Drosophila melanogaster: one gene and its partners. The protein of the gene in region 3 interacts with the protein of the main gene of each other region in a pairwise test. Each region holds a gene or a part of one and is shown on either strand. Other genes may lie near its edges. The genes, in order: stops, Mlp84B and NimB2.

The links.
Region 1: the proteins of NimB2 (region 3) and stops interact in a two-hybrid assay, tested with the Drosophila melanogaster proteins (one large-scale study listed by BioGRID).
Region 2: the proteins of NimB2 (region 3) and Mlp84B interact in a two-hybrid assay, tested with the Drosophila melanogaster proteins (one large-scale study listed by BioGRID).

The regions. Positions count from the first base shown.
Region 1 is NT_033777.3:31,166,857-31,170,613, forward strand, and holds the start of stops (slow termination of phototransduction), read right to left. Parts: upstream 1,749-3,757; 5' UTR 1,618-1,748; coding exon 1,171-1,617; intron 570-1,170; coding exon 470-569; intron 1-469.
Region 2 is NT_033777.3:7,115,777-7,119,533, reverse strand, and holds the start of Mlp84B (muscle LIM protein at 84B), read left to right. Parts: upstream 1-1,801; 5' UTR 1,802-1,883; intron 1,884-2,817; exon of another isoform or gene 2,818-2,882; intron 2,883-3,695; 5' UTR 3,696-3,757. Other genes in the region: Alh (alhambra), read left to right, coding at 1-72, 486-576. UniProt on the Drosophila melanogaster protein: Plays a role in cell differentiation late in myogenesis. Transcription factor Mef2 is essential for expression.
Region 3 is NT_033779.5:13,965,374-13,969,130, forward strand, and holds the start of NimB2 (nimrod B2), read right to left. Parts: upstream 1,646-3,757; 5' UTR 1,552-1,645; coding exon 1,133-1,551; intron 639-1,132; coding exon 102-638; intron 24-101; coding exon 1-23. Other genes in the region: NimB3 (nimrod B3), read right to left, coding at 2,114-2,321, 2,378-2,538; NimB4 (nimrod B4), read right to left, coding at 2,970-3,462, 3,524-3,757.

The DNA of each region.
Region 1 (3,757 bases), on a different chromosome or scaffold from region 3:
GAGTGAGGACAGGACAAACAAGGAGCAAGTTTTATTGCACACGAGTCCAGATTCCCTGACAGAGGCATGCCATTAATTCCAGGCACTTTTCCTGCTCGCAAAAGTTTACGCAGCCTTTTAATTAGAGGCAGCCAACATGCGTACGCCCCAAATAACTTGCAACACTTTGAGGCACTTTACAAGTTTTACGATGCAGCAACAACAGAGCAACAGAACGACATCAGCAACACTTTCTTAACGCAATTAGCAGAAACACGTGATTAAAGTGAAAACTGCCTGCTTATGGGCGTAATAATCCGATGCGATGGGATGATATTTATTAAAGTATGCAAAGCACACAGCCACGCCCAAAAAGCAAACAGGAAAGTCTTGCCACACACACACGCACACTCACTCGCATACGCTTACGCACACATACGCATACATATGCATTTAAATTAAATTATTTAGTTGGCCCGACTCCACTTACCCAGCAGCTTGACGACCACCTCCGAGTCCCGGACTCCCCAATCCCAGCAGGTGCGCAGTCCGATGTACAGGATGTTGTGATACTTGCCCATGAGGCAGACCTGGGGAATACGCATGGAATGGAGGGTGTGGTGAAGGGGCTGAATCCCAACTGAAGTGCTACTTTTTAAATTATAAATAATTGCCATATGAAGAGATGGCATTTAAAATGGAAGAAAATTAAGTTTAGCAGACTCTGCCAAAGGAAATTAAGCCCGAAACAACTTTCCATATTTATTTACACTCTAAAAGGTCAATTGGATCGCAGCAGCAGGATATACATATTTATGCATAGTTTTAGTACTTTTCTAACCGTTTTCTAGAAAGCTTTATTAAATTCCACTTTTATTCGACTCAAAAGCAAAGCAATGTTATTTGGCTAATTAATCATTGGTTTCCATTCATAAGGCTTGGTTTAAACATTAACATTTATTTAATACGACAACGAAATAGACTGACTTGGCTTTTGTTCTAATTATTTATTTCGTTTTTTTAAGTACCGGAAACTAATTGTCAAATCATTATTAATTAAGTTGAGCTTTGCTAAAGCCCAGTGCTAGTTTGTATGGACTCTTTTAAGTAAATATTTATTCATATTAACTATTGAAGTTTGGCACACAGAAATGCCACATTGGCAACACTCGATTTGTACATAAAGCTCACCTGGCCGTTCTGCTCCTTGGCCATTCGGTGGTACCTCATGGCCGCCGTCACCGCGATGGCGGCCACCTCATCCGTCTGCGAGTTCTGGCCGCCGCTGCAGCCCTTGATGATGGAGCTCAGGTGGTCGAGGACATCTCGCCGCGACTGGCGGTCCTGCAGTCCGTTGCGGGAGATCTGCTCGAAGGTGTCGTCGAAGAAGCACTCGAAGATGTAGTCCATGACCAGATGGCGGCGCTGGGTTCGCCGGTTCCGCTGGTGACTGGCCCTATTGGCAGGATTCCGACGCAGTTGTTCCCGCACCCGCAGACGCAGCCGTGCCCGTGACTCAGTTTCCCGGCGGAAACCGTAGAAATGCCGTGGAAATGGCAACCAGCAGCGAACCCACACAAATTGGCTTTTTAATTGACTTACCAGCCGCTGGAAAGCCTGTAGCAACTGCGAAAGCATATTGCAAACAAAATTTAATTCACTTTAAGTAGGCAAATATTTTCGATTGAGCTGAATTGATGATTCCCTCCAAAGAATTGAAATTCCGCTTCAAAAAAACTCCCGCACCGCTGAAGCCAAAGAGTCGCAATACACAAAAAAGAGAGAATTTCTTTTGCGGGGGTGACTCTCTTGCGCTATCGATTTTTTGCAGCTGGCAATGATGTGCTGGGAGAACTTTTGATAAACATAAACAACTCATAATGAGCATGCGGAATATTCATTTTAATATTTTTAAGCATTGCAATCATATAAGAAAATAATTACATAGTATGTAAAGCTTATTCAAAAGCTGATATACAGTTCAATTACTTTTTAGGCCTCTTTATTTCCGTGAAGCTCCCAGCAAAGCAATTGGCAAACAGGTGTTTGATTACCAGCCGACAAGTATATTTCTATGAGCTCTTCAAAAACCGAATGGAACTCGAGGACTCCATTGAAACTGATTCGATTCGATTCAATTCGATTGGTTTTTGCTAAACAGTCTATTGCACTTTGAAATTTGCTGGCATTTTTCCGAACCATTTATTCACTGCACGCAGCGCACTCACACAATTTTCCACCCCACTCATCAGCTGCCGCTGGAAAACTAAACAAACGAAGTCCAATTTCTAAGAACGCTCAGCTGTTTACCTAAGCGCTCACTCTCCCGCTTTCTCTCCACTCTCTCTTTGTACAGAGAGTAGCGGAGGTATTAAATACGCGTTTCATGAGCATAAAGCTAAATTAGATTCTAAATTGGAATTTTCAATTTAAAATATATAGTACATATGTATGCTCTCACATTATTTTTGTGCTAAATGGGTAATGTTTGGCGATAAGCATAAAATCAAATGGCGCATAAAAACGCAGGTTTTTGTGATTTTGCAATATTAAACTGAAAAATAATTGGTTTGTCATTATAAGGATTATGCTTGATTCAACAAAAATATATTTATTTCGAAATAAATACTGATGGTGTGCTGTTTAATGTTTCAGTGCTTTTTTCGGTTTAAATCATTAATGAATTTGATTTTACAACGGAAAACTGAAAACTAATACAAAGTCACTCGATACTTCATTCCAGAGTGAAACCGATATTATCATAAAGCGAACCGCTTTAAGCTATCTTTTTAGAGATTTACTAATCCCCCTTCAATGAATCCATTACATTTTCAAGGGGATCATTTTGAAATAAATATTGCAACAAATATTCATATACACGGATTTAAATCTGTAAACAATAGGAGTGTTTTCTCGAGCTTTAGCCACGTCAAATGTATTTTAAAACACGACTCCAATTGTCATGTAAATTTCTCAGCTACAAAATAAATTCATATTTTAAATAGCAATTGTGCACATTGTTTACATGTTTTTCTATCACCCTTTGCCAATTAATATTTGTTTATGCGGGACATATCAATTTTCCCATACATTATTCAGGCCCACTCATTCCATTATTCGCCGTATTTGCACGTTTAATATTTGGGCTGACAATTAAGCGCTGGGTAAATATTTAAGCACTGCCATAAACATTAATTAAGAACGCACACCAAGGGATCCAGAGATGATGACTGGGATAATCATGTCTGGTAGGGATTCCTCGGGTCCTTCGCCTTAATCGCATATGCAAATAAGTGTCGAAGGACATTCGGCACAGTGTAATTAACTCAGGTCCATTAAAACGGTGCATATTTGTGCTGGTTACCCAGGACAACATGGCAATATTTTCACCTGAACAGGCTCACCTGAGCGCTAATTAAAAGGGCAATGCAATTGTGGCCATATGCAGGCTATCCGATGCCGCAAAGGTAGCGAATTAATTGAATTAAATTCGTATCCAATCAGCGGCGTATTGGCCGTAAATATATGAGTCCGAATAAATGCAACAATGTGTGGTTGCACTGTGGTCGAGCCAAGCGGAAGCGGAAATGCACACAAGCCTGGCGAAATTTTTATTTCGCTTCCGTTTTATGCTGCACTCGATTGTGCGGGCACATGGAGCACAATAACCGAATTTACATAATTTCTGGCGATGCAATCTAATAGCTGAATAAGGGGTCTCCCACTGTGGAAATTACGATGGCAATTTATTGGTGTGCAGATTGAGAAAAAAAAACGA
Region 2 (3,757 bases), on a different chromosome or scaffold from region 3:
ACGAAAAGCGGATTCTGCTAAGTCCACTAGCAGTATTTCCACCTCTGGCTCCGCTCTGGAGGATAACAATAGGTGGGGAACGAGAAACGCAAAGAAAAGGTCTTTTACAATTTACATTTTTCAAAATTTGGTAGTTACTTAGTTTACGCCTGATTTTAAAGAAACAAATGGGACTGTGTTGCACATCTATGATTTGCAAAATTGTTAATTTATCGAACACCCGGTGTAGACAACTCTTTTATTTTGTTATTCTAAATAAATTGTAATAATTAGAACATAATGTATATTAAACAGTGCCCAATGTTACTGAGAAACCAGACTTTTTAAATATGTTTTTGTAATTTCATTGAAAAAGGCAACTTTTGGAATCCGTTTCGTTTATTAGAGAATATACTAATACTAAAATAACCCCGTATAAGACCTTTTTCTACTGAAACAATGTATAGAAAAAATCACACTAATATATTTTTCGGTTGTTTCTGTAGCTTAATATCCCGCTATGATATCAAAGATGTTCAAGTTGCACTGACGCCTCTAACAGATTTTGAGAAGGAAATCGAGAAGAGCTCCAAGAGGGTAAGTTGATTTTTTCTTTGTTTATCTTTTAGCATACTATTAATAGAATGATAAACAACTCAGTTATCGTTCCGAAATATTGAGTTAATATAAGCTTTTTTACTTTTAAGGAAACTTGTTTCGGATCTCTTGAGTGATTTTTGCGAAACATTCTCTTAAAGTGTTTTCTCTCTTTTTGGATACAATGTTGCTATATTAATGATGGTTCCCATTATCTTTTACACTTGTATACAACTTGTCATTTAGTTTTTCTCTGATCAAACCTAAAGAGTGGGACAGAGAGTACTACTATATTCGTTTCACTCGCCAAAAGTTTTGAACGCAGGCGCCTTGCCAATTTTTGTATCATACTTATAAGTGGAAATGCAATTGCAAATGCATGTTAAAAATGTTTTGAGAAATTCTGCCGAAGGTGCGCGTTAATTATACAAAAGGTGTTGCCCACCCGTTCTTGTCTTTAAGAAATTCCGTGTTTTTCAATGCTACCCCTTGAACTTCGGAATTTTCGATCGATCCATTTTTTAAAATGGTGTGTGTTTCGATCGAAATACTGTAATAAATCAAATATTAAATTAGTTTGTTATAAATTTGAGAAACTTACTACTACTACTTTGATTTCAAAACTAAAATAATCGGTAAAATCATACCATTAGAACTAATATCAAAATGAAATCATTCTTAGTAATGATATTAAGAGGTATTTTCTGGCCGAGTTGGCCCCCGCCATGTCTGGTTCTATTTTGCCGATCTGATTGATGCTCAATGATGTACCCATGCCCCATTAATTTCCTTTTGAACCAAAAATGCATGGCAAAATATCGAATTTTAATTAAATGCAAATGCGCATGTTAATTTATTGATGTTGAAGTGCCAATGTTCCGAAAGGCAGGCAGGCAGTGGCTTTGAACAAGACAGTTGAACCATGTTGTTGGTCCAATAAAATACCAACATCATCTTTTTCGCCTTGTCATGAGCACGATCACCTGGAATATTCTGCTATAAAATGACCGTATATACAATTTATGAAAGCACATTTTTCTTGTATACTAGCATATTGTATATGTGAGAGCAGATATTTTGTGATTTGTTGGGATTCTTGTTCGGATGGCTAATGTATTTATTGTTGGGGCTATATAGTCATCCCTATCATTTTCTCTGGCGACAAAGTTGCCTTCGTGCCGTGTGCAGACAAAGACTGAAAGCGCTTGACAAATTTTTCAGCGCGATCAGTCGAAAATCGTTGTTAATCGAAGCTAAACTAAAATTAAGGATATTTCTCTTGCGAACCTTTTTATTACGAACGAAAAGTAAATATCAGTTTTTGTCAATGGAAAACGAAAACCAAAACCAAAACCAATCACGCATAACCCAGTAAATTCCAATATTTTGTGTTGTGCTTGTCTAAAAAATATCGGTTCAAGCTCTGCTACAAACCAAACGCGAAGCGATGAAAATACAGTTTTGTCAAGCGATCGTTTAAATTTAGAACTTGTGCGTAATTTGGACCATAATTTGACCCACAAATGAGAGGAGGAATGTATGGCTCCACACAGGAAGCATTTTTCCCACACACTATTATTAATAGATTCCGTTTTTTCGAGTGTGAAAAAACTTTACGGAAACTGTCTCACTCAATAAAATGAGAACTATTTGCGAGGAGTTTTTTTTTCAATCGAGTTTTATTCAAGTACAAATCGATCATCTTTTCATCAGATCAAATCGAATAGTCACTATCCTTGAATAGAGAAAAATTAAAGATACAGTCCTTACTCGACGTAAAAAACACGTACATTTTGATGAGTTTTATAATCTTATTGCATGCAAAAAGTATTATATTTAGTCGGGAATATAAACAAACTCCCAGATGCCTGAGGTTTCCAATGATATGCAACTTTTCGATCATCTTTGATAATCTCCCACTGGGATAAATGTGCATATAATATACACAAAAGTTAGCAAACATCCAAGAATGAGATACGGTCAAGAAAAAACGAGTGAAGGATATGGAATAAAAAACTTTTTCGAAGAATCGAAAAAGTTTAAAAACCGCAGATGCATACCAATATGTTTCCATCCCACTCTCTGGCGTTATTTGATGAAAACTGAAATAAAACGAAGGAAAACTGCTCCGTGTTGCCGCATCTTAAGTTTCTCAACTCGGTGTGCTGAGCAGGAAAACTCAGTGGCAGCGGCGAAAAGTCGACCGCGTTGCCGTGCCGTGTGCACTCACAATTATATAGACTAGTTTGCTTTGAGCAATCTTCCAGTTCAGTACTCGGCGCTTCCGTGTGTGGTTTTAGTGCGTTGTAGGTTCCGTTCTATCTTGGCTATAATACACTCACACCCAACGGTTGGATATCGCCAGCTCTTAACCGATTTTTTTGCACGCAGCAAAAGACCATTGCAAAGCACCTGACTAATCCATCGCAACCGCTAGATAACCAGATTACCGGCCAGGGACGATGCTCATCTGATGGTGGTGCTTTAGCTCTGACTCAGTTTTAGAACACCCAGATATGTACATATATATATCTGCCACAGTTATTTTTTGTGTGTGCTTTTCCCAAATCTATCTACCTGTCTGCGTTATTTTTATACAACATTTTCTGTATAGATAGATACACATTTATTGCTCATGTTTTTCTCTGTGTTCTGTGATTTGAAAAATTCCTCCTTTATTTTTTGTTGTCATGAGAAAGATGTTATTTTCTGATCATTAACATAGGAATCTTCAATATGAATTACGTATACATACGTCCGGTTGGGTAATTTTCTGGCACGGGCGATGACGTCTCGACTGACAGATAAGAATCTTGATAGATGATCTACATAATGCAAATTGAGGAGAAATTCGCGACTGTCAAGTTGAATTTGTAATAGTTCATTGTAAACTTAAGATAAAACAAGCGTCTTAATCGTCCAAATAGGTTAACATGTAGATTAGCTTGAATTAACTAGTTGGGCTTAGAATAATTTGGAAACCATTTAACATACAAAAATGACAGATGCTTACCTCATCGCTTTCATCGCCACCAAAGCTTCCACTCTGCTGCATTTCCCAGCAGGACTTACGCCACGATCCCATCGACTCTATGTGTTCTTCTATTTTGCTATTTCAGATAATAAACTTAATAAGTAAAGTAATTGTACTCGCGTAGATCATTTTGATAGCGTTAAAAAA
Region 3 (3,757 bases):
TGCAGCGTCCGTTCTTGCAGGGTCTGAAATAGGGAAATAATTAAATTATCTAAACTATACATCGCAAGCAGATTTCATTGTTTTTTAAAGGCCACACTTACATGGAGCAAATGGGTTCGCAGCGTCCTTGGAGCTTTAGGTAGCCTGCGTTGCAGTTGCAGTGTCCTGGAGCCGTGCACTTGCCATTCTCGCAACTGTCGCACACTGGTTCGCAGGATCCATCGGCGGCCAGGCGGTATCCGTCGAGGCAGGCGCACTTGTTGGGCGCCACACAGCGTCCAAAGGAGCAGCCGGGCTTGCATTCCGGCTGGCAGTACTTACGAGTCTCCGGCTCAAGCGAGTATCCCTCGCGGCACTTGCACTCATTCCGCTCGTCGCACACTCCGTTGCCGCAGCCCAGGGGACAGGTGGAGATGCACTTGCCCTCGGCGGTGCGAACGTGGCCGGGTATGCAGACACAGGTATTCGGAGCAGTGCATATTCCATTCCGGCAGTCATCCGCGCAGATCGGCTCACAGCGGCGGTAGATGTGCGGATTTCGCTCATAGCCATCGCAGCAGACTTGGATGCGACTCATGTCCGGAGTGGTGCCATTGCCAACGAACTGATCCCGCGAATTGCGGAGCAGTGACGCGGTTCTGGATATAAACAAGGAAAACATTAGGTTTACTTAAACAACTTAAAATCATGAATGCAATGACATATATTTTTCCTAGGGAAACTAATAAAACAGATAATCAACATGTCTAAATAATACCTTAGTAAAGATGTGTGTCAAAATTGAAAAATAATTTTGTCCTTTAAAGTTTTAAACTACATATTGTCCAAGAGAATGCAAATGAAACTAGTCAATTCAACTAAATTTAAAAACTTTTCGCTTATCTACTGACTTTCCGCTCGTTGCATATTAAATTCATTCACATTATTAGCTTGGCACACATATACTCGTGAAATCAAGGCGCATTTTAATTATCAGGCCAGCGGAGGAAGTTGAGGTCGTTAGTTCACTATTTTTATGGCTTGCCTTGTTTTCGAATGCCTTCCGAATTGGGCGATAGCTTTAAGTGGAATTATAAAAGTGTTTTCCTCTCGATTGTTAGTATTTTTTGTCCGAAATTAACCCATCACTTACGGAACTTCCTTGTAGCACACACCACTGGCCATGGCAGATCTGGTTTTGTTGATGAACAGGGCCGTTTCATCCAGGACCTGGACACGATGAGCGGGCGGAGTCACCGGCTGCACGTAGTGTCCATAAAGGGGCGGCAATGTGACCGGTTGAAAGACCTCGGCGCGCACAAATCCAGCGGATCCCTGTTCCACATGGTTCTGCTGGTTCCAGGCGTAGTTGCTCTGGTTTTGAGTGCTCCAACCGTAGCTGCTCTGGTTGTAGCTCCTCCATCCCGACTCACTGCTATTGCCGGCAAGCTGCAGGTTTCCCGATGGCGGCTGCCGTGTCTTGATGCCAGCCGTCTTGAATTGTCCCTGACCCAGGGAACAGATGGCCAGCAGAACGCCCAGAGTCACCAGCTGGCACGATGATGACCTCATGGTGATGTCACTTGATTACGGATTTCGTACGTATGGAAATTGATTATGCGCCCACGTCCACGTCCGCTGGCGACTGTAGTTGCACATCGACTAATCGGCTCCCGATGCGAAGCTCCGGATCTCTGAGCCGCCATTCGCCTCCGGCAACCTCTTGTCCCCCTTCTAATCAGCACCTCGCCAATGTACCCATCAATGTGGCAAACGGAGCGAAGGTTTGCTCTCAGTAGCTTCGGGCAAAGCAAATCGATCATTGCCATAAATTGTGAGTCGTAAACAAAACTCATTGCTTTTGGGTAATTCCAAGAAAAGTTTGCGTACAACGATGACTTCAGGTATAGAGATTATTTCTTGATGAAATATCAGATTTAAAGGCACAGAACATAAAAATGATGAACCTTTAAAACTTATGAAGGTTTTTTCAAAAAAAAAATTTAACGTTTCTATGTAATCATGAATGGTCGTAAAAAACAGGTTAATAATATTTCAAATAGTAGAAGTATTGATCAAATAATGATAAAGTAAGCAACTCAAAAAATATTGTAATTGATATTATTTATTTTTGTTATTCCAAGACAAAACGACACCTTTTGTTACTCCGATAGTAACCCGGAGCACACTCGCACTCCTCGGGCGCCAGGCACAATCCATTGGAGCAGTCCTCCGAGCAAATGGGCTCGCACTTCAGGTTCTGGCTTGTTCCCTTATTCACATAACCATCGCAGCAGTAGGAGAACTGACGATTTCTGGAGTTGGGATTGATGGTTTCCACGCTGGGAGTGGGAATTGATCTTGAAATTCGGTCAGGCGTGCGGAATGGTTTACCTACGTGAGCGTCCTGTAACAGATGCCGGATCCCCTCTCGGCCAGAGCCTCTTTTCGCCACTGCGTAACAGGATCCACCGACCAGAATTGTGCGGCAGTGCGCGTGGGCAGCTCGATCCCCAGACCGCAGATAAGGAGTCCAATCAGCGTGGATGTCAAGTGCATTTCGCTCGGATTCAGCTGAAGGCGAGGTCGTATCAAAATGCGAGCGCAATGCTCGCCAGTGTCTCGGAGCTACTAAATTGTCGTCTGTGTCAAGCGCGGCATTTAAGTGTACGGAGATAGAAATGTTCTATATTCCTAGGAAGATAATTATGTGTTCAGTACCCGGTATTCGTGGGGTATGTTGACTATGCAGAAAATAAGTGATATACCAAATAATAAATACCTATTCAAATGAAACAACTTTCGAGAGGGTACCAAATCTTCGACGTACGTTTACAATTTAAGCTAGACTTGCTTCAAAAAAGCGAAATCCCAAGAGATGAAGCCACAAGATATTTCAGACACCCCTGATAAGAACACAACGTCTTGGGAAATGCATGAATATTTATTAGAGACTGCTCAGTGATGCTGGAAAAGTGAGAGCTCCGAACTCACAACCACCACATATCGCTGAGTGTGGTCAAGTTGAAGTGCCTGCCCAGCAGAAGATTGAATTCCTGGATGAGCGATGCGTTCACCTTGACGGGATTCATAGAGGCGTATGTGGTGACCGTGTCCGGCGACATGCAGCGATCGATGAATCGCGTCATGCCCACCTGGCAGCGGCATCTTCCCATGGCGTTGCACAATCCGTACTCGCAACGCTGGTAGGTGCGTTCCGGACCCGGGACTATGGCGCATCCGCACACATTCGGTGCGATGCATTTGCCGTAAAAACCACATCCACCCACGCAGACCGCCTCGCATCGCTCCCGATTCCGGACGTAGCCCTTGAAGCAGCGGCAGTTGCCCGGCGAGATGCACACCCCATTATCGCAGTTGTCCCCGCAATCCGGCAGACAGGTCGTCGTATTCTTATCGTATCGATATCCGTTCTGACACACGCACGTCGTTTTGTTTGCACAGAAGCCATTCTCGCAGGTCCTGAAAGAAATTTATTAAATTATTAAATGTAAAAGGAGAGGCGTCTAGTTCTAACACTCACATATAGCAATCGCCTTCGCAGGTGATGCCGTTCTTGCGTTTTTGGAATCCGGGGAAGCACTCGCATTCGTTGGGCCGCACGCAGTGACCGTATCCGCAGTCCGGAATACAAATCGGTTGGCATCCCAGGGCGGCGGACTCCCTCAGTCCTCGGGTATATCCCTCGGCGCAGGAGCACTTGCCCGGCTCCAAGCAGACCTCGTTGTGGCCACAGGTGGCGTTGCACTGCGGCTGG